Caenorhabditis elegans: one gene and its partner. The protein of the gene in region 1 purifies or fractionates together with the protein of each later gene. This does not show direct contact. Each region holds a gene or a part of one and is shown in the gene's direction. Other genes may lie near its edges. The genes, in order: C54G4.2 and K09F6.10.

Region 1 (12,503 bases):
TCTCCTTCGAAATCGATGATTATTCTTTCTTTAGAATAGAAAAAAAAGTGCGATAATCTGTCATGTTCAGTGTCAAACCACCTCCCTCACTCGATGCCCGAATAAACAACATCCTCCCTCACACACTCACAATGCAAGAGCCAATTACGGCATACAACACATAAGAGAAATAACATTAAAAATGAACAGACGCAGACATAATAAAAACACGTGTTTTGAGCACTTTTGGCGGGCATCTTGAAAATATGGGAACAACTTGATTATTTTCTTCTTACCGGCATTCACTGCATATACATTCACTTGGCAAAGATGTAAACGGCGGGTGGCGGTGATTCGGAGACGGGATATATTGTCATATGAACAACTGATTGAAGTTGTCGTATTTATTGTGAACAGTGAAGAATCTACTATGCATTGCTGAAAATAGTGTCTTTTAAAGAAGGTTTTCTAAAAATAAAATTAACGTAATTTTAAATTTTGGATTTCAGATAATTGAAATCTCAAACTAGAGGAACATAAAAAACAATATGATGGATATTATATAATTTCATAACCTTAAATGTATGCTTTGCAGCAATCAGAATTTCTAACTTAAGAAGAAATCGTAGTTTACGATTACTGTTTAACTAAACAAGTTTTACTACGTTTTTCAACTCGTTTTTCAAAAAATAGTTCCAATTCTTATTATTTTTTTGTAGAAAAATCTAAGGCCATGCAGGTATCTGGAAATCTCACATGTACAGCTCCACCAGTTTCGATCGCTTCCACAGATACAATTGGTGATGATTTTGTACCCAATCTCATTGAGATTGATCGTATGGAATAGTCACCAAGTAGATCAACTTCCCTAAAAAAATAATTGAATAAAAAACATTGTAGTTTGCACATATTGGTTACTTGGTACTTTTCAAAATTAAGTTATAATTGCCGCCAATATTTATTTTTTGTGATACGTAAAACGCAGCTTCCAATAGTCAGGCTTTGGCCAAATTCTACAGTGTTTACAGCACTTTTTTCGGGGGCTAAACATTTATATGAAAATTATCTTAATTTCAGCAGACAAGCTCGAAGGCTGAAAAAATTCACCAATGATGGGAACTAGCATACGACAGTTGCAAGATATCAGGCGAGTAATTGGAAGTTCTCAGCCTAACAATCTCAAAAACTGGAATTTCTTTGAAAATAACTCACCAAAATGACTTTGACTCATCATTAGTCATTGTGCACATTGTGCCACCAAGCGACATTGCCACATTACCGGATGATTGAGTCACAGGCTTATTGTATGCAACGTCAATTGCACAAATTGGTGGCTCATCAGACCAGGATCCATCGGAAAGGCACGTTCGTTCTTCTGAACCAATTAAATCGAATCCAAGGGCACAACTGAAAATATATATTATAATTGAAACATTTTAACTTTTCTTTGATTTTTTAATAATTTTATTTAAAAAATTTTAAATTAAAAAAAAACGGAACCTTTTTGATTTTTCGGAAGAAAAATTCAATTTTTTAATTTTTGTAGAAATCGTTTTTTTTTCCTTCGAAAAACACCGGAAAATAGAACAATCTTGGTTCAAGCCTCTCAATGATGATTTTGAGAAAGTTTCCCACAGACTAAAAGTGCTAAGACTTCGGTAGATTGTTTAGATTTAAATAATATATTTGTCTTCCTATATACATTACAAGACTTTAGTCTATGCCAATAAAAATGTGATCTTTCGAACGTTTCATCTGATGTTCTCCCTCCCCCACCTCCGCCACCATCACATTTTGAAGTTCTCATGAGAAACTGGAACACATTGAGGAATCACATTTCATACGTCAAAAACGGTTAAATTTTGTGGTGAATGTGTGACTGGCACAATTGGGCTCCCGGCCGCGTGTTCTCGTGTGAGAAATGCGCGCAAATCGGGTCGGCAAACAGGAAAACTTTGATGAGGAACTGGGGGGGGGGGGGGGGGGGGGTTGAAACTGAAACCGATACCGGAAAGGAAAAGTTAAGATTTTGCACGGGAATTTGAAAAACTTCGAATGAAAAATTGGAAACTGGAACTATTTATCTCTTTTTTTGTAATAATTTGGAAATTTTAATCTGAACTGTTTCTAATTGTTTTTTATCTAGTTGGCTACAAATCGGACATTCCTCATCCCTGCTTTACGCTCGGTAAGCGCCTCCAAAAAAGTAAAAAAGGTAATTTTTGGGCGAATGAAGAGTCAGGTGAGAGGCGCCCGTCTAGCTCGACTGGGTGATCACCAACATCGAAAACGGGGTTTGAAGATTTTTTGCAACAACAAAAATTTGACGATTTTTATCTGAAACCTTTGAATTTTTAATGAAAAATAAAAACGGAAAACCTCATTTGACAAGATAATGGTGTAATGTTTTTGGAACACTTTCAATTAATCATAAGATAATTTTTAAATTAAATTTTTTCTGGAGTATTCTATTTTTACCTGTATTTTGCAACAGTATCCGTTGCGTACGGTCCAGGCTCATTAAATATCACATGAGCATTTTCGGGTACATATGGTTGAAGACAATATATATGGGAAATTGGAGATGTTGGTGGAAAAGTGAGCCCATTTACTCTACGGAAAAAGAGTAGAAAAAGTAACTGGTAAAGGACCATGAATAACAAAAAATGTTTGGAATGAATAGTCGGGAAGAGAGAGAGAAGTGTCTGTATGTTGTTATATTGTGTATTTGTACGTATTGGAGGGGTGTTGTGTATGAGATATGACCGGGAGGAGAGCAGAAGAAAAACGAAGAGAATGTATCTACATACGGTGGTGGCCGAAGAGTTTGCTCCTGTGAGGGAGCAAGAATGAGAGCCCCTCAGAGAGAGGGAGAGAGGCGGCGATGAGCGGACGACTCGAGGAGGGCGCCCGCGCGATTGAGCCCCCTTCCAGGTGAGAGGGGGTAAATACAATAGATGTGTCTGGATGGAATGAGAAAGAGCAACAGAGATAATTTGGATGGCCGCGACGATCTGAGAAAGCCGTTGTTTTGCTCTGATCATTGCCGATTGTTAAGCCAGTGTTCTGTGTTTGCAAAAAAAACGGATTTTACAGGGAGCATGTCTTTGGAATGTGTTGAGAGGGGAAAGGGATGAGCATTAGTTTATTTAGATGTATACTACTATTTTGAGATCAACTTCAACCTTTGGCAACTTACTCCGTCGTACAGGTTACAAATTCTTGTCAAAGTATGTATCGGAACAACTTGTCAAATTTTTTGCAACATTTTGAGAATTCTCATTATTTAACTGCAACTAACTTTTTCATAAGCTAAATTGCCGAGTTGTTTTCAGTTTCCACCAATACCAAATGTTGCCTCCAACGACAACTCACTTGAAAATAAACTTAAAAAAGATACAAATGTGAAATTCACAATTTCAGTGCTACTGACTGAGTGAGACACGACAATATGCACACAAGACAACTACTGTACTTCTTAAAAGCGCACACTTGTTTTCGCTTGAATGTTTTTAATGATGTCACTGGATACCGTACTCTTTTATTAAAATTTGCTAGATTTTCGTCTTTGTAGTATCTGGGATTTCTGGAAGTGGAAGTTAGCAAATTTATAATATATAGACACAGTTTTTTGTTTGTTCTGGGCAGAGATCTGAAAATCCATCAAAGGATAAAACGACAACTTTTGGTTTGTGTCAATTTTATAGTAATTCCTGTTTTTTGTAAAACGTCCAACAAAACAAGTCGACTGTTTTTGAAAAATACACAACTTGTTCTTTGAGATCCTTTTTTTGTAATTCTTCGACAACATTCCGACTGAGTTGAGATTGTTGAAAAACTCTCGGCATACAAATAAAAATTGATCCAATTGTTCCCTTTTGTTATACAAGTAGACCTCCGTAGTCCAGTCAGTGCGGTAATTGGATCCATGTTTTCCTTCTTTTTCACTCGAACTGTATAATATTTGTATGCGCGCTTTTTCCATTGCAGAGCACCTCTTGAAAGTGACAAGTGCACATGAGAAATTGGATAGTTCTCAAGCTTTTGCCCACGTTTTGTACAGGCTCTATGCGCATAAATCAACCTATCACTTACGCCGTTTTTTGATGGCTCGAAGCGAGCAAGCTCTCTCTCTCTCTTTCTCGCAGGTGATGGCAGTCCGGAAGTGTGCGGAAGAACGAAGAGGCGACAAAAATGCGGATTAACAAATTGGTGAAACTTCGGAGAATGAGAATTGAAGGGATAATAATGAAAAGAGGAAAAACACCAAAAAGTGTGAAAAGTTCGATGACGGAAACAATGAAACAGAAAAATGTTCTGAATGTTGGGATCTTAGCCACAAGATGTAAATGCGAACCTCAAAAGAAAAAGTTTTTTTTTCCCATTTTACCCTTATATTTAGAAATGAGGCATATGGAATCATTTGATTAAAAGTTATGATGCTCGCTTTCCAACAATTTGCTGACATATCCTCAGACGCATTTTTCGCTCGAGAAGTAGCAAAACTTTCAGTGAAAATTAATAGTCTAGTGCAGTGCGCACCAGGGTGTGCGGCAAATTTGCCGAATTTGCCGAATTTGCCGTTTGCCGAGCACGGCAAATTTCAAAAAAGTAGATTTGCCGAATTTGCCGAGCTCGGCAAATCTCGAAATTTGCCGCACATGTCAAAAATTTGACAGTACAATTTTGACTAAAACTATTGATTTTTTCGCCAAAAATTTAGTAAAATGACACAAAATTGAGTTGTTTTCATGTTTAAGCAGACACACTACACGGAACTTATTCAGAAACCAGATGTGTGTTAAGAATTCGGTAGTTTTGGTGCTCCAAAAAACATCAAGAAATATCAAATTTTTCCGAGTCTGTTAAGCACGGCAAATTTGCCGAATTTGCCGAGCTCGGCAAATTTTGAGATTTGCCGCACACCCCTGGTGCGCACGTTTATAGCTGTTCAAAATCTTCGCTTGTCTGGAATTGCAAAAAAAACGAAAAAAATCAATCAATATTTATTGATTTTCTCACAATACAATACAAAAAGACAAAGGCAAGTAGCAATTAATTAGATCCAGACATAGAAGAGTTGTTGGCGGATTTAGAAAACGAAGTGTATGCAGAAGTCGAAAAACTGCTCTCAGGACCGCTGCTGTATTTCAAGGGAACTCCAGATGTAGCAGTATTCGATGCAATTCTCGAGATCATTGTGTGGAAGTTCTGGAATAATTCAGGTTATTGAGGTAGAAAGAAGTTAATGAGCACACCTTGTTAGAGGCAGCATCTCTAAAAACACGCATCTCTCCAGCCAACAGTTTAGCTTCTTCCATGACCTTTGAATTGGAAGATTTCAGACCATAGAGGCCCTCAATTGCTCCACGGAAGGCTTTTCCAATCTGACAAATGATATTTGAATTGGTATATCTTGATGAGCTATCAAAAAGTTATCAACTAACAAAATGGCTTCTGTAAAATTTGGAATATATTGTCAGTTGATAACTTTTTATATCTATACTTCCAGCTGAGCTACTATCGTTCACAACTCACAGCTTGTTCATCAGTTGCATGGGCCTCCAATGCATCTTGTTCCTTCTTTTCCGTACGATGCACCATATCAATAACTTGATCCATTAAATCATTCATATCAACGTCCTTCTCATATTTATAAAATGACTTATTCACTTGAACCACTGATTCTTTTAGGATGTTGACCTTCTTTTCCAATAGTTGGACATCTTTGACCATCAATGTAGAGGCTAACTAAAATGAGAATGATTAAATGCTGAAGCTTGTGTGTTCAAAAACCTTTCTCAGGAAAATTCTTGACTTACCGCTTGATCAGCAGTAGCCTTAGCCTTCTCCATTTTCTGATTCATCCACTTCGAATTTCCAGAGCGGTCCTTGTGAATTTGTTCATCCAACTCATGCATCATTCCACGAATACGATCGAAATCTTCATTCATTGATATTTGCATATCACGAAGTTCCAAATCAGTATGACGACGAACTAGTTCACCTTCACGAATTGATTCGATCGCTTTTTCCGTTGCATTCAGACTACGTTCGATCATTTCTTTTTGGGAATTCTGAAAGGTTGATTGTTTTTAAACCCATAATTACAGTCGAAAAAGTTAAAAACTTACATGCTTGACATCCATCTTAACAATCAATTCCTGACAGGGACGACCAACTTGAGAATAATCGGGAATAAATATATTCTATTGATTTTTTTCCCGATAAGTTCCAACAGATCTACAAGGGGATCAACAATTCTAAGAATAAAAGACAGTTCACGGAAAAATAGGTATTTATAAAACACAATAAATTGAAAGTAACGTGCTAAATTTAAAAAGTTTAATTTGAAGAAGTGCTCCGAAAATAAATTCCACTTCACGAGCTATTTAAAATTATAATATGCACACTTTTTTTAATAACGAAATTTTTGAAAATTTTTTCACGTCCTTGTACTAATTACTTTAATTATCAGTATTCTCATTTATTCCTCACATTCAATTTGATCAAAATGCATCAAAAAAAGACAGTGGTCCTTAAATCAAAAGAATCCGGATCAAATTGTGAAAGGAATCGATCGACAGGTGCTGCTGCTCAACAGAAACCAAAGAAAGTCGTCGAATCCAAGAAGCGTCGACCAAAGAGCAAGACAAAGTCTCCGGAAAAGGAAGAAAAAAAAAGAGATCAGAAAAAACGAAAGTCGGCTTCAATAACACCGTCGACTGAGTCCACTATGAAGGTAAACTGAAAAGTAGGGAGTCGAAGCACCAAGTTTAGCTTTCCAGTAGCTTATATCTTTTTTTAGCTTGGAGATATCAATAAATAGTCAACTACAAAACTATAGAAAAGAACTTACTGAACATTTTGCCACTTAAAAATTTTTGATAAAATTTGAGATGACCGAGAGCTGATAAAGTAGAGCATCGGTGGATGCAGCAGGACCAATGATGCCCCTGATACTGATATCTGCATTCAATTTTGGCTGCTACCCATTTTTTAAAGCAATAAACTCACAATCAATCAAAAAATTTCAGACAAGCGACTTAATAAGCAGTATCGGAGACCATACTGAAGGAGAACCATCAAATGGAAATACCAAGTTTGTTAGCCACCTTCACAAAAAACAAAATTCAACAGAAGAAGACAAAAAAGTGCCAGAAAATATAGAAATGAAAAATGGCAGACGACCAGTGGTTTATGTGGAAGAAGAAAAGGAGAAAAGTGAAAAGAAGTTCCATATGATCCTGGCGCAAAAGTTTTTTAAACGGATGATGGAATCACAAAAGTCAATGAAGAACCCTAGTTTGAAGAAGAGAGATGATGTAAGTTCATGTGAACAGGAAACCTGTATAGAGATTCTACTGTAGAACTTACCTGGTTTGTTGGTTTTCTATCAGCTTTCCGGATATTCCTATAGTACGACTATAAGTGCCGTTCTGCTAAGCTACTAGTGCTCTTATTCAGATCAAGATGGTACTTGTGTATTATACCCCCGCCACTAATAAAATAAAAACGTGTGAATTTTCTATGTATTTTTAGGCGTTAGGAAAACATCGTTCCTAAGCCTAACGAAAAAAACGGTTATCACGTATAATTTAAGTGGTAAATTAATAGAAATTTAATTAAGTTCTAAAATGGCGGGGGTATAATACACAGTACCATCAAGATTCAAAAAAGTACCATCAAGATTCAAACTTTTTAGCGTTTAGTAAGAGAATTGCTGATATACCCAAACTACTGTAGCGAAAGTCGTTTGTATTTTTTTCAGAACCTCGAAGTGATGCCCGAGTCATGCCAAGTGGCGAACTCTGTGAAAATAATCAAGCGACGATCCAGAAAACATCGACCACTCGATCGAAACATCTTCAAGGAGAATGGTGAACCAGTCTGGATTGTCCCCGATCGAAAAGAGCCAGTAATGACAGAGGACGGAGTCATGACAAGATATCCTGAGCTACTAGCGGCGGTTGCTGAAGACGGACTGAAGATTGAGGATGGAAAGCAATGGATTGGGCTGGTCGAGGATTATACAACAGGGAAAATGGATGATGGGATTATTGAGGAGAGGTAGGTTTTGGATAAGTACTGGAAAAGGATAAATGGATTGTTAAATGTTTTCAGCAGAGACCAACTCAACCCATATGACACGATGGCTGCGCTGCAAGATCGATCTGAGAAGTTCTTCAGAATGAACTCGGTGAATTACTACACCATGTCGAATTTGTTGACTTTGAGTAAAGGTGAGAGAGTGTGATTAGACTTTCTTATTACAAATAACCTACTTTTAGAAGCGATTGACCGATTTGCCGCTCAGGAGCAGACAACAGCAGCGGAGCGTCGTAGGAAGGAAGAAGCTCTGAAGACATCGAAAGAAAACGGCAATGAAAATGAGAAGACATGTGTGGTGACGTCGATTACGTTCAAAATGGAAAGCACGTTTAGCATCAGCTATGATGTGAGTTTGAGGGTTTACAGTGCTCAGGCTTACCGCATTGTGTATACTATTTCGGCAGGTGTTTTATACGAAGATGTCATTGATTTTTTAATTGAACTAATATAGAGAAACAAATAATGAATAGTTGTCAGTTTTTCATTAAAGACGATCCAGATACGCTGCCAAAGGTATTTTCAATCGATGCACCATGTGCCTTTGGGCGAACCCTGGATATTTTTGCGTTGAAATACTCAAAATAGTGTGAAAAACAAACTTAAATTTCCAGAGACGTCGCCCGGTGCTCTCGATTCAAAAGTTCCGTAAAAAGTACAAAAAACGTCTCCGCTCAGCGATGGATCAGGCAAGAAGAGGTTCACGAGAGGGCTCACGGGAGCCTGTTTCTCGTGAAGGATCACGAGAATCTGCTTCTCGCGAAGCTTCTCGTGAGAATGCGTAAGAGGAGCAACAACGAAAGAGCACTTTATGATTTTCTTGGTATTATTCAATTCAATACAAACGGGCTAACATGTCAATAAATCTACTTTTCAATTACTGTTTTAGATTAAATAAATTTTAAAGTTTCTCTGGAAGAACTAAGATTTCAAGCTTGTTGACATTACAATGACTTTTTCCAAACGAGCAAAATTGTTTCACTTTCCATATGAGCAAAAATCAATAATTTCAGAAAATACTATGTAACTTTGCTGAAACTACTGATTTTACTACCAATTCAAGTGATAAAATATGAAAAACATTACTTTCTATCTAATTCTGTTTTGATATTTTTTTTCATGTTCAGAATATGGTAGCAAACAGATTTGTGAGGAAGATTTTTTCGGCACCTTTACAGAATTCCATGTTTCTCCATGTTGTGTCAAAGCTTTTCTTTAAAAATTTATACAGCAATATAGAAAAATATTTGAACTTTTCGATGAAAATTTTAATTTTAATTCGATTTGGATATTGATATTTGGGACGGTCTTACTATTAGAGCAACTTTTCAAAACTCTCCACTTATATAGCTGAATAAATTGGGCTTTCGAATCTCTTTACTGTTCGGGAAATAGATTGCACGTTTCAGAACTAGTCAGTTATCTGAAATTCCTCTGAATTGTTTTTTTTTCTGTCAATTTGTGTACCTTGCTAACATTATTTTAGGATCGATTAATTTTGGCGTTCCCTATTATTTCCTATTTTTATGACATTGATCGGTTTAATATTTCCTTCATTGACCTCGAAAGTTGTTGCATTGGTAAACATGTGTACATTTTCTCTCCTCTTTTTTCAATTTTACCCGCTTATCAGCAACTGATAGGCGCGACGTCGCAAAAGACAGGAATATTTCGAATTTTCGATCCCTGCATTTTTTTTTCTAACACATTTTTTCGGAGTGTGGGTATTGCATTGATTTGGAAATTCATGTTTTAGTAAACCTCCAACCTTTTTTCAGTACATTTTTCACTGACTATAAAGTATGTAGATATTATGTGAACAATGTTCAGGAGAAATTTTTCAAAAAAGTTGGCCGAGAACACATATTTTTCAAGGACAGGTTCAATGCAATTCTACAGGTCTTGAAATTAGTGGATTTTTTTCAAATTAATTTGTCAGAATTTGTCAGAATTTCTAATTTCTAAACCATATGATTTTTTTTAAATTTTCAATAAAAAACTGTCAATCTTCAAATTAATTTCAAATTCCAAAATTAGTGTCATTCCCACTGAGTGATCTGTGTATAGAAGTGTTAAACAAACGATTGAAACGTTTTTCCCTCTTCCGATTATTTTCTAGTGTGCCTAGACGAAAAGACAACTATTTTATATAACCAGAGCGCTGGGTAAACTTTGTGTTTGTCAAATGACATTTTCTCTCTCTCTTTTCTAAATTTACAAAAATGTGCGAGAAAGAGAGAGAGAGAGAGGGGGGGGAGAGAGAAATATAGATAAAAAGAACGGTGTGTTGAAAAAAGATGAAACCTGTTGCCAAAGGGCGCCCATTTGGTCGTCAAGTGTTGATGAGACGAAGAAAAATGATGACGATGTGCTATGTTTGGCCACCTTTCTCATCAAGCCTTTTGTTCCAGAAATGTACTTTTACAATCATTCACTTTTTGAAATTACTTTTTCTGGAGATTTTTGGAGAGCTAGGAAATTTGAACTCTCAAAACTTTACATTATGTAATTAAGGAATTTGTTTGTTTTTTAAAAAGATATTGTGAGTCGTTTTGATACGCCGAGACTGGGGGCGCTTCTCCTCGCCTCTTCACTCGCCCAACTCGCGCCCGAACTTTTAACTCATGTGAACCTTGTGTTGTATTGTGTTCATATTTTATTTGCATAAAAATCAGTAACGTGAAATTAAAATTAAATAATGCGGTTCAAGAATCTAAAAAAAAACACGAACGTATTAACTGACTTAGGATTGAGATCATCCTCGGTTTTGTTAATTTCATTTGCTCCGATTTTCATGAGATTTGTTGCATGACGTATTCATGCAGCTATTTTCTTGTTTTTCCCTTCAAACTGCTAATTTTTTTTTAAATTCAATCAGAAATTTTTGCAATAGGTTCGCTATTTTTGAATCGGAATTTTTGTCCCTTTTCAAAATTAATTGTGTATTTTTCTTTTTCTTTTTTTTTGATAGATACAAATTTTCAAATAGTAGTTTTCTAGTTTGCGGGCATATATTTTCCAAAATCAGAAGCTTGTAGGAACTTGTATGATTCATGATTTGTTGTGACCTTGGTCTATAATTCATGAATAATATTATTATTATTTTGTTCTTGTTCTGCCATAATAATCACATTTCCCAAACACTTGATTTTTCAAAATCCTTTTTTGTGCTCAATCGTAATTACTGATCCTGCTTTTTCACTCATTTCTCTAATCTTTATATTTCATTTCTCCAAAAAATGTGTCTGAGTCTCTACTATAAACCATTAATCTCTCACTATTCTTTTTCTTTTCGTTTCTCTCTTCAATGCCATTGAAGCGGGGAAAAACCGACGACGACACACACCACACACACACAAACAACACATTGCATAGGCTATATCAAAAAATTATTAAAAATGTTCTTTTTTTTTTGATTCTTATAAAATATTTGTGATTCTTTCCCATGTAAAATTCCGTTTGAACTTAATTAGTGTTATCTAAAATGGTCTCTGATCTTTGATAGTGTCTCTTCAAAAAGAGGGTTGTACGGCAAATGTTCTCTTTTCGATATGGTTGTTTTAGATAAAAAATTAATATAATGTAGAATAATATTTAGTCAATTTGAACACAATTCTTGTTTTGATTGAATTTTTTTAAAAGTATCTAAAGACTGAAAGTTAGTCACTGCTGAAAAAATGGGTCAAAGTTTTGGCAAGTTTCGGTAGTTGGGCTCTATTTCAAACAAAATTTAGGATTATTTCCAGAGAGTTTTCGAATTTTTCAAATTGCTTTTGCTTTCATAAGTTTGCTTATTGCAGAGAAATCAGCAATTTTGTAGATTTTCCGCACACCCTAAATATCAGGTTCGACAAATTTTAAATGTTCTATTTTCAGCAACACGTTTGGATCAATTCTTCATCTCTCATTTGAACAAAAAATTTATTTTTCATCCTAAAATCTAATTTCAACAAAATAACTATCGTTTTTTTCCTTCCAGATGAATTACTAATTTCACTCTAGTTTTTGCAGAATTTTTGCACTTTCAGTTAATTCATTCATATTAAATTGATCTCTATAATTGCAAATGTCATTTTCTAATCATAATCCCATTAATTTCTGAAACTTGATTACGTAGAATGCATAAACTTTAAGTTGGCAGTCCAAATACACATGCAAATGTAAATTCGACCCTTTCTCGCCCATCTGCATTTTTCATTTGAGGTCATTTTACTTTTGTGACCAACTTTGTGTTCTCTGTGGTCTTTTACTCTTTTTTCGTGATGATAATTATAGTTATAGCAAAAAAAACAATTATTGTGACAAGCTGTGTCCAACGTTTTTCATAAATGTTCCTATAACTTTTGCTCCTGGGGTTCGGAAAGTAATCAAATATTTTTAAATATGATTTGTGTGTGAACTCTAGAAAACTTTTA
Region 2 (11,819 bases), on another chromosome or scaffold:
AATGCCCTACAATCAAGCTCATCGATCAAAAAATTCCACTTCAAATCGATGAACTGAAAATCAATGAGCATAGCTTTACAATTAATGAGACCGTCTACAAACTGGAAGTCGAGACTTCACTTGGATCCCGAGCAGCCCTTGATCTTAATCACTACGGAGCAATTGATAACGCCCAAGTTGTTGAGCGACTCCCAGGAGAGGTTCTCATTGATGGGAGGTTCAATTACTCGGAGAAGGCTAGAATCAACTCGGAGCTAGAGCAGCTTGAAGTAGAGCAAGAACGAATTGAGAAGATTCAAGATGCGGAGGAAAAGGCTAGAGAATGGAACAGGTTCAAAAGAAGAACTGTGATGCATCAGATCAACACACTTCGATTTTATGCACCTCGAGGCACGGTTATTCAAATCCCGATCTCTTTCTACATCAGGTTAACGGTTGGAAAGCACCACAGTGAAACCCTCCGCTATACCTTGAAGCTTCACGATGCACTGAAGTACCTTCTTCAGGTAGTTCTGGGTGATCGGAAGAATATCAGGATCAGAAAGCTCCAGCTAAGTTGTGCAGGGATTCTTCGGATCCCTTCTACCCTTGACCTTCAATTCCGAAACTTGAAACTGGGGAAGAACACTGATGAATTTGTTAGATGGATAAATCCACTCATCGAAAATTTGAAAGAACCCTTAGAATCCGTGGATATTGAGGATGATACCCATGAAATCCTCGAAAGTTCATTTTTTGAATCCGAACGATTACTTATCATAAGATATGCCCATTTAAATTTGATTCGGCTAGCTGGGAAAAGAAACGTTTGCATCAAATACGTCAGGTGCGTTACGGAAGTCGGATTGTTGGATTTTTTGAATAGATGGCTTGAGGGCAGAAGGGGTGTCGGAACATGCTGGTGGTTCGCATTGGATGATGAATCTCAAGCAAGAATTTTTTTGGAAGTCATCAAGAAGGACGATCGCGCTGAAGAGTAAGTAAATTTTCGATGTTTCTTGGTTTTGGGGAACATGGTTTTGGTGCTTTTTCCCTTTTGTTCTTGCCAAAGCCAAGCCTAGGCATAAGCCTAAGCCCGGGCCTGAAAAATGATTTATGCCAAAATTCCTATTTCAGAGTCCAAGAATCAAGTGTCTTGTTTCCAATGGGCAACTCTACAGAGGCTTTCATTTTCTATGAAAAAAATGAGCATCGAGATGGAAAATATGGCAGTTGGGAGTTGGTTTACAGTTTGAAGTTTACAGTTTGCAAGAAGAAGCTTTAAAGGAGATTGATTTCTGGATTTTTGCGAATAAATGAAATGTGTTAATGATTTATGATATTTGTGTCCATCTTCTATCGATTTCGACTCATTTTTCGGCAAATCGGCAAATTTCCGGTTTGCATGATTTGCCGGAAATTTGCAGTCCCATCAATTTGTCAGTTTGCCGGTTTGCCGGAAGTTTTTAATTCCGGCAATTTACATGATTTGCCGGAAATGTTTAGAGGGATTTTTTATAAGACGGCAACCCGTAAAACTGTACCTTTTTGAAAATTTTTACCCCGTTTTCTTTAGACATATTCAAAGAAAAAATTTTATAGAATGCGTAAAATTATGTCGATTAAAATTGAAATCTGAAATTTCCAAAAAAAAATGTGCAAGACTCCAATTTGCCAATTTGCCGTCGAGGTTTTAGGAAATTTTGAACCGTCATAAAATATTTCTGAAAAACTTTTGAGAAGTTTCATTTCGAAATTTGTTCCTTTGAGCTGGTGTTTTTTGTTGTGCAATAAAAATTTGTAGAAAAAAAAGGCATTCGAAACTGAAACTCGAAAACTAGAGATTTTTAGTATGGTTAGTGCGTATGCCTGCAGAAATTTTGGTAGTTGGTTCAATTCTACCAAGTGCCAATTTTTTTTTTGTTTTTTGTGAGTAGTCGGGATTCAAATAGAAATACTCGATTTTATACAAAATATGGGTACGTCTCCCCTAATATAAAGCCTCCTCAAACTTCAATCAATCAAAACTCAGCTTTAACTGATTCATCGGGTGCATCTGTTTTTGGTCAAACCGAACTCAAAAATCAAGAAGACTCCCATTGACCTACTGAAATTTTCACGAACCCTCTAACAGGTTCGAGGCGAAGCCGAGAACCTACGCCCGGTTAGGGGACTCGCCCTACACCCCTACAACTGGCGGGCCCGCAGGGCCCGCTAGTCATGGAAAACAATATCCAAATGTGGCTGCACTGAAACTTGGTATTGAGGATGCTTGGAGAGAAATACCAGCCAGCAAAATAAAGAATCTGGTCAACTCAATGTCGAATAGGTTTTTTGAGGTTATCGTTAAGAAGGGAGGTCCCACGACGTATTGATCCTTCATCCAGTTAACAAATTATGATGTTTTAATTGATTTAATTCCACTTCTGGACAAAGAAGGACAAATAGTGCAATCTGGTACAAGTTTCATACAACCTAAAACTCCGTCGATTTGTAAAAAATCTTTCAAACATGTATCCATGAGTGTCTCAAAACATCTTGGTCAGTTTTGGACTCGATCCCACCGAGAATGGGCCTCTGACGCAAAATGGAGCGTTTCAGGACAATTGCGGGATCCTAAGAATCTCCACGTATAATATTTCTGCCGAGAATTGATCACTATGATATCTGAATCAAATTGACTCCGTTTTGTTATCTTGCTGTGTCTAGAAATGTCAAAAAATGTGGTTTTGTTGGAAAAAATATCAAAATTCAGAAGGGGCGCTATAGAAGTTGCACGGCCGTTTTTACGATTTTTTGACCTAGTCACATCAAATTTTGTTATTTTTTCTTGAAAATTTTGGACAAGGGGTTTTTTGACATTTGAAATCGAATGGCATTGTCAGTTTTTCAAGAAAAAAATCAGAATGGCGTGAAACGCGATAAAATAGGGGGCGCTATAGAAGTTGCACGCACTGTATAGATATGAACGATGGTGTTTTGTATGGAGCTGGTATTGAACTGGAAATTCCGGAATGGTGCTATAGTTCAGATATTGGAAGTTAGTGTGTCTTTTGAGTGTACATTATTTTTTATTCATTTCGTGAAACATTTTCAGAGCATTCGCCATCTGACTCAAAGGATCTGATTGCAAACCTACCAACTATCAAATTTGAGCATGGAAATTCAACATTTGCAAATAATCATCGAAAAATTAGTTTAGGTTGAAACTGTGCGATAAGAATTCCTGTCGTTTTAGTTTCATCTAAAACGAGAGTTTGCTCGCTACATTGTTATCTAACAGTGAGAAATAACTTTATCGATTTCAACTTCAATCGTTTTTTTTTCTATTTTTTCGAGCGCTTTTTGGTGAAATCAAAACTTTCAAGCAGTTTTGGTTGATCTTTTTTCCAAACATTCAAAATCAAAGTCCAAAATCAAATAATTTATGTAAATGAAGAGAAAACAGAGAGAAGGTCACATTTCTGGCAAGCTCCATAAAGTCAAGCTGTTGACAGAGTTTTATGTCAGCCCGCTCGTCCTTAGCAAGAATGTCAAAAAACCAACAATTCCTAATACTTCTCATTTTTAATTAAAGCCACATAATTTTTTGAATTGAACTAGGGCGTGATAAAGTGTAGATCAAAATTTTTCGCAAAATTATATGAATGATCCCGTGAGTTCAGGAGGTTTGCTATTCATCTCAATAGATTTTGAGCAATTTCTTAGAGTATTACTTGAAAGGTGCATTGAAACAGGACTGCCTCATAAATATGACATTTATATCTAAGAATGAGGAAGAAATTGCATATTTAATGGTTTTTCAGTGGTAACTGTCACCATTCTTAACCACACCAATTCAAAACTGAAAATGTCAATGCCAAAATGTGAAATCTGTAATGACGACTATTCAAGCGAAGATGGAGATCACTCTCCGCGAAATCTAAGTGAGTGATTTTTTGCGTGGTCTTTGTAAAGTTAAAATTTCAGAGTGTTCACACACGTTATGTGAAGGTTGCATCAAAAAAATGTTAGGTAATAGCAAAATTGTATGCCCATTTTGTCGCGAGCCAACCGATATGCCGGGAAACAAGATGGAAAGTTTGCACAAGAACTTTGCATTGATTCAAGCGATTCAACTATTCGCAAAAACCACTAAGATAACAGTAAATAAAGATAATAAGTTTTTTCATTGATTCAAGCACATTGGACTTTTTCAGGAAGTAGAGGAGCCAATGTTGGAAAAGTGCAAACATCACCCTGATTACTTGGTGGAAACCGTATGCGTGGTAGGTCACTTTATTAAATTTTTTTTTTTCCACTCACTTGTGGAAATTAAATTTTAAATTGCTTTTCAAAGAACTTTCTCATTGATCCTTACGAGCTTAAAGTGTTAGTTATTTGAAGGAAGAGGATTGTTCCGAATCGGGAAAATACATGTGCCGCAAATGTGTATCGACTCTATCTCATTTGCATCATACGAAAAAATCGTTGATTGCGGAAATGGAAAAATCACGCGAATTGCTTCAGGGGAGGATAAATCGCTTGAATAAGACAATAGGCGAGATTGATCAAGATGTTCGAAAGCTCAGGATGTCACAAATTGCGTTTCGCGAAGGTGGAAATAATTACCAACAAAAAGCAAATGAGGTTAGGTGTTTATGAAAACGCGATTGAAATGTGTATTACATTTTTTCAGATAACTACTTTTTACTCCAGAATTCGTGAAATGGTTAATGAACGTGAAAAGGAGGCACTCGTCAAATTAAAGGAAGTGGCAAAGTCAATTTTGGATGAAAATGATAGTGCATTACCTCCGCTGTTAAGATCTCACCAAAAGTTAACTGAATATGTTCGTAAAGCAACTGAGGCAAAGAAAAGGAACAACGCAATAGCATGTATAACAGCAGCAGAGGATTTGCTAAACAAAACAAAAGATTGTTGTGATGAAGGTAGCTATTATTGCATTTGAAGCTAAGAATAAATTACTAGATTTCAGAATATTATACAATCGAATCACAGGATATTAATGTATGCATCAAACCAATTGATATTCCAGTGGCAACAATAACCCGAAAGTAGTGATAGAGTGGCTTTTTCACCACCCCGAGGATTTTTGACCGCAGACGGTCACGAATAGTGTGTGAATCGAGAGATTCAGAGAAAGACGAGAGAGTGAGAGACTTGGTTATAGTAAGAAACTATCGATTTTTTGGGGTGTTCTTGGTCCTCTCAACCAGGGGACAGTTTTTTAACCAGGATTTTTGTGATTTGATTGTCGATTTTTGAAATAGCGTGCGTTTTCGAGAGATTTAGAGAAAGTCAGACAGAGCTTTTTTCGAAACTATTTTCGAAATTGGGTTTCTGTAATAATTCAAATGATTATTATTAATTTCATAACATTATTTCATAACTTTTTATTTCATAATTTTTGTTTTTCCCCGGACCGGATTCGAACCCAGGACACGATTTACATGAACAGATGGCATCTTTTCCCAAAGCAACAAGAGACGATTTGCATGAATGCAAGTGTTACCTAGATTGATGAATCATAGGAAGGAGGCCCCCCACGCCCCGCCCCTGGGGGTTTCAAGAGTTTAAGTTGAACATTTGAACGTTACTTCAATTAATGTTACCTGTGCTATTTGAAGTTTTCGTTTTCGAAAACTTCAAATAGCAGGTTTCTTCAAACAAGACTTTTTTTTGTAAATATTTATTCAGTTGATTAAATTAATAAGACAACAACAATCAAATTTTATAATTTCCAATATTTTTTACGGCATTTCTTACAAACGTCAATTTTCAAAGTTGATCCATCATATTGTGCACCGTCCTGACAAGTCTTACAAAATATTATTGCGACGAGTGGTTCCATTTTCCGGAAAGCAAACTCAGGATCTGAAATTAAAAATAATTATTCATAGTAATTGAAAAAAACTTTTTAAAAATTACCTTTTTTCTCAAGCGGCTTTCCAGATTTGGTCGTATTCGTTTTTGCTGGTACGTTTTTCTTTTTCTTCTTTACACACACTGGTTCGGGATCGATAGGAATATGAATATCAGGAATATGATCATTGGGAACATTTTCTAACGGTGAAAATTGTAAATTTTGGGGTGAAAGGAGTTGGGGATTATCGTTAAAGTTCCAAAACACATTTCCGGGACTAGGGTCCGGATAAGTGAAATTTGAAAATGAAGACATGAAACAAGTGTCACCGACCGAGATAACGTTTCAAAACGCAAATGACGTGAGATTTGGAAAAAAGGGCGGAGCTTCTAGCAAGATTTTCATGGTCATAGAATGAGCTTCAACAAATTTCGCAATGAAACTATTTCGCAATGAGACTATTTCGCAACAATTGGTGACAGGTCCCAGTGGGCAAAGGCGATCATTCAAAAGGGAAGGAGACTTGTGAAATTGTATCAGTAAAAGAAAATCCGAAAAGAAGCTCCATTTATACTCTAGAAACCACCCGCCCCTCTATCGAGCAGATGGCAGTGATTCGGAAGACATGCGCGAAAACGTGCACGACGCATGACAGCTGTCAAAGAGGAGCCGATGTCGAAATCTTTAGAAATCTACATGTTTCATGCAAATTGGTTAACATAGCATTTGGGAGTAGGAGCCGATGTCGTAATCTTATACAAAAATCTTTAGAAATATACAGATTGGTTGCAACAAGGATTTACAGAATTTGGGAGTAGGATCCGATGTGTCGTAATCTTATACAAAAATCTTTTAGAAATATACAAAAATCTATATTCCCAGCGGAACCATAGGTTTTCCATTCAAAAATACGCCCCTAACCAGTTTAGATTTCCGGATAAGTGAAATTTGAAAATGAAGACATAAAACAAGTGTCCCCGACCGAGAGAACGTTTCAAAAACGCAAATGACGTGAGATTTAGAAAAAAGGGAGGAGCTTCTAGCAAGATTTTCATGGTCATAGAATGAGCTTCAAACAAATTTCGCAATGAGACTATTTCGCAACAATTGGAGACAGATGGTGTGGTCCCAGCGGTACTATAGGTTTTCCATTCAAAAACACGCCCCTAACCACTTTCCTAGTGGTATAAATACCCAAGCACAGTGAAGAAAGTTGATCATTTTTGCGAGCAACCACACACTGGTTGTAAAAACCCAAGCGAAAGTTCACACATCTAAAAAGTATTCAGGATGGCAACGAAAAGCGACGGTAAGGATGTAAAAACAAAACGTGAGTTTTTTTAATTGTAAAAGTTTTTAATATATTTTTTTCAGCATCCAAGACTTTTCCAACGGACAAGGAACTACGGCATTTTGAAAATTCACAAAATTTGAAGATTGTGTGGATTTGAAACGTGCATCTAAAGAATCTGTCAAAACCAAACCAACGCGATTCAGCTTCCGGAACCTTGAAAATCTACCTAGAAACAAAACTCTTGACAAAAACATTGGAAAGCTGTTTGATATTTTCATTCGTTCAATGATTCAAAAGGCTGGTGGTAATCTAGAAACTACGGAATATTGGTTGAATCTGAAACATGAAGCTTACGAGGAAGATGATGGATTTTGGATAATGCACCAGACATACGAGATGGCCGACGGATATACTCTGATGAATATAATTGCCGAACAAATGCAGTCAAAGAAGGGACTATGCGTTGACGATGGAACATTCACGTTAACAATGAGAGTGTTCACAAAGGACGAATCAGTTCGCGGAAAGGGATCAGTAGAAATTTCTAAAGATAGGCTAATGTTATTCGGGTCAAAATACCCAAACGTTGTTGGATTCACTCATTGTCTTTTGAAGGCAATAGTCATTGGTAAACTTTGGTATGATTCGAAATCGACAAAAACAAAAGGACAAGAAGCAAAGGATTTTAGAAACCTGACGAGACAAGACGTAAGTTTTTTTAATTTTTAAATGATTCATCTATATTTTTACTTTCAGAAATGTCTGGATCACCGAAAAGGAAAACAACTACAACTTGCAAAGAGTTTGGCAACATCTGTTGGGCTGGATTGCGACCGCGAAGAACATGGATTCGATGATTTACAGAAAATTGCAGACCATCTGCATAACATTTGTGTGTGGGGGCTGAAAAGCGGTTCAAAGGCTACGGCGAAAATTTTTGAAGCAAATAAAGGTGCAAAAGGATTCATTCCACTTCTGTATGTCGACAACCACTTTGATTTTTTTGTACCGAGGATTGATTACGTCAATACCGGATTTTGTTTCAAATGTAATCAATACTCTGGTCGCCGACATTACCAAACATGCGGGGCCAAATGTCGGAGATGTGGTGTCACCAATTGCGAGAAGAATGGAGTAGGCAAGATTTGTGAAAAATGCAACATTGTGTTTCAAAGTGAATCATGTTATGAATCTCATTTAGTAAAGCCGTCTAAACTATCCTTGTCATTTTGCGAACGATATGAAAAATGCAAAAAATGTGGATTCATACATCGTAAAGATTCATATTCCAAAACTGTACACAAATGCCACGACAACGCTTTTTGTAAAATCTGTCGTCAAAGAATAAACGGTCCTCACGAATGCTCACACGCCGCACCTACGGTCGCCAGGACACTTCGAAATTTGGAAAAACAAAAAAAATGGAGGCCTCACTCTACTCATATTCTTTCTTCTTTTCAAATCAAATTTCTGCCTCTTGTTTAAGTTTTTTGTGGAATCCTGTTGAACTGGTCTCTTTTTAATGGAAATCTCAGTGTTTTGTGGCGTCTCATCAACCATCGGCTCTTCATCTTCCTCATCCTCTTCCAGCTGCATTTTATAAAGTTTTCTTGGTTTCACGTTATTCATGCTCTTTCCTCTCTTGAGATCAAACTTTTGTCTCTTGTTTAGATTCTTTGTGGCGTCTTGCTGAAACGATCGTTTTTTAATTGAAACTGGTGTGATTTCCTCAGTTTTTTCCTCTGGTTTCCTCGGTGGAGCAGCTTGCATATCTTCATCGGGTTCTTCAATCTCTTGATCGGATTCTGTTTTTGCTTCTACTTTCACCACGCTCTTCTTTTTAGGTCTACTGAGAGTTCCGTCTTTCTTTTCATTTTTGGACGTTTTCATTTTTCCAGGCGTATTTTTTTGTGGTTCCGTAAAAAGTTCATTTACATTATTTTGCTCCATATTTATTTTTGGAATTTTTTCGTATTCCATATGATAATCCTCATCCTCGGGCTCTTCTTTGATGTAAACGTTTTTGAGGGGCTTTAAATGATTTATTCCATCATTGTGGTTCGGCACGTCATCAAACAATTGTTCATTTTCCGCTTTATAAACAGGAGGATTCCTATAATCTTTTTCTTGATATGATTCTCTCTTTTCAGGAATGGCTTCATATTTTAAATTACGTCTCTCTAGCTTCACATTTCTCTTTTGATTGTCATTCTGTTGTTGTAAATTTTCTTGAACAACATCAAATAATTCGTCAGTGACAATTGGTAGTTCAGGGTGGTTTCGGATGCGGTATAATACATCTTGGTAAAAACGGCACTTTGTAGTTGGATCAACATCTGATGCGGATAAAAAACGCTTGGCAGATTCATATGCAGACCCATTCTCGTAGGGTATCATGTGATATTTGCGAATCAACTTCATTTCCAGAGATTTGTTGCAATAAGTGAAGGAATAACAAGCGTAGCCAATTGCTTTTTTGAAAGCTTAAATAGTAATTTCCTCGCATTGTTGACATCATTGGTACGTGAAATGGTAGTTAGTTGATCGTGTATCGGCTGCAAAATTTGATATTCTGCTAGATTTAACGGAATATTTTTAGAATTAAGCATGTTGTACACAATTTCAACTAGAATATTTATTTCTTTGCTCGAAGCATCTCGAATAGCAATACGATTACGTTTCAAAACAGAATGCAAGAAATCAGTGTGAACAATTAAATGGGCAGCCATTTGTTAGCAAAAGATCAAATACAATTTATAAATCATTTATATAGGGACATTGGCTGTAGGATACTCGTTTGTAAAGTTTGATAAAATACGCATAGTAGGAAGAGATAATGGGTCGTTGTTAATTAATAGCGCCTGATATGGTTTCGACATTACATCCTGGTATGCTTCGAAGGCTCCTCTCCATACGTCTCCAAATTGCTGCATTAGTAGGTGTTTGATTTGAGAGGCGTCCGACAAGTTTCGCATCAAAATAATGTAGGTACTGTTGTTTCGGGTTATTGGCGGGAGTGTAAACGCAGACTGGACCAAATTGAAAATTGCACAATTGAGATGATGAGCATAAAGACAAAACAAGTCGTTGAGCAGATGGAGGGATTTTTTATCTCGTGCAAAAAAGTTCATCAAATCGTCACAGACTAGAATGTTATTCTGATGTTTGTGTTGCTTTAAAAGATCAACGTCTGGTAATCCTTCGATTGCATGAAAGTTGTGCAAGTGTCTTGGTATACTGCTCGGCAATTCGTATCGTAAATTCCTCGCATTTTCCTCGTAAATTCCTCGCATGTTGCGCCTCTCAAGCCAAATAGTGGGCGCTAGTCGTACATTCCTCGTATATCCTCTGGAACCTACGAGGAATGTACGACAAAGGCTTGAAACGTGCGTATATTGAGGTCTCTGCAGCTCGTTTTACTGGATATTTTCCACCATTTTTCAACTTTTTCAACTATTTTCTCGACAGAATGAAATAGGATAAATTATACTTGCTAATATTAGGTTGACAAGAAAGTTTTGCCCTATTTGTTTTGTCATTGTGGGCTGCAGATCAATTTCGGTGTTTATTCACTCCTAGAGATTGATAAGCAGGAAAAAAGTCTGCAGTAATCAACACCATAATGAAGGATTCAAGACTCTTTTGATGAAAGTTTATTTTTCTCCATCGTATAAAATCATACAAAGATGGTTCGATCGTTTCGGAAGTAGCGACTTTTCTTTGAATGAAAAGAAATGCCCTGAAAGACCGTGTGAGCTACATTTGATTGCACTAAATGCCAGTGTTGAATCGGATCCATTTAAAACTACAAGTGAGCTTGCAAGCACGTTTGGGGTTCATCATAGTCTCCTTTGCAGATGGCTTGAAATTGCTCGATTAGTAGCTCATTATTTGACCCGTTCCATCCTTGACCGCCGAACTGGTGTTTCATAAAGCCTTCTCACTCTCCACGGCGGTAGGCAAGCCCTGTGGATTGGAGAAGGAGAAGCCCCACAGGATGTCCCGAAACCCGATCTTCACCCGAAAAAAAGTATTCTCTCTGTTTGATCGGCAAGTGGATGTCCCCTCAACTGGGAGCTGTTACCATCCTGACTTGTGAGGGGGAGATTATTACCGGAGAACCCCACTCAAGACAACTACAGAATTTGAATAAAGCAGTCGATCGTTCAGCCTTGAGGGATAAGAAAGTATATTCCCAACATAATAACGCCCAACCACATGTTGAAAAACAAGTGAAGCAGGAGCTGGCAAAATATGGATGGATGATTCTATCAGCAACCAAATTCTCCTGACATTGCTTCTAGTGATTATTGGCTTTTCTCTGATGTGACTCGTGTACTTCAAAGTAGAACCTTCACAATTAGAAAAAAATCTCAAAGTGGCACTAATGCAATACTTTGAAATCCTGCCCGCTGGATTTTAGGGCAGGGAATCCACAAGTAATCTCAACGTTGGAAGTACATTGTTGATCATGATGCAGCATGTAACTGATTTTTGTTTGAGTTTGCTTCAAGAAATAAATGATTGAAAAATAGGACAGAACTTTCCTGCCAACCTAATACTTGTGAATAATTCTACTAAGTTTCATAAATATTCTGCTTCAAGAAACACTTCAACATTTTCAAATCAAACAGACAATAATATCTGATTGAACTGAAACTCTCACCAGCTGAGCGCATC

What was found.
Region 2: the proteins of C54G4.2 (region 1) and K09F6.10 fractionate together in Caenorhabditis elegans (co-fractionation; one large-scale study listed by BioGRID). This does not show direct contact.

Annotation. Positions count from the first base shown.
Region 1 is NC_003279.8:8,000,157-8,012,659, forward strand, and holds C54G4.2 (Bromo domain-containing protein), read left to right. Parts: upstream 1-6,478; 5' UTR 6,479-6,493; coding exon 6,494-6,721; intron 6,722-7,016; coding exon 7,017-7,304; intron 7,305-7,750; coding exon 7,751-8,049; intron 8,050-8,103; coding exon 8,104-8,222; intron 8,223-8,270; coding exon 8,271-8,437; intron 8,438-8,702; coding exon 8,703-8,873; 3' UTR 8,874-8,960; downstream 8,961-12,503. Other genes in the region: C54G4.4 (Sushi, von Willebrand factor type A, EGF and pentraxin domain-containing protein 1), read right to left, coding at 276-417, 736-847, 1,192-1,386, 2,458-3,023; C54G4.3 (Methyl-accepting chemotaxis protein), read right to left, coding at 5,035-5,190, 5,238-5,366, 5,518-5,730, 5,802-6,056, 6,114-6,128.
Region 2 is NC_003280.10:2,284,138-2,295,956, reverse strand, and holds K09F6.10 (DNA-directed DNA polymerase), read left to right. Parts: upstream 1-7,073; 5' UTR 7,074-7,175; intron 7,176-7,219; 5' UTR 7,220-7,424; coding exon 7,425-7,847; intron 7,848-7,895; coding exon 7,896-8,624; downstream 8,625-11,819. Other genes in the region: fbxc-25 (F-box C protein), read left to right, coding at 1-976, 1,117-1,264; K09F6.7 (RING-type domain-containing protein), read left to right, coding at 3,830-3,905, 3,949-4,124, 4,179-4,247, 4,366-4,608, 4,658-4,910, 4,958-5,040; K09F6.13 (Nuclear receptor domain-containing protein), read right to left, coding at 5,714-5,856, 5,911-6,160.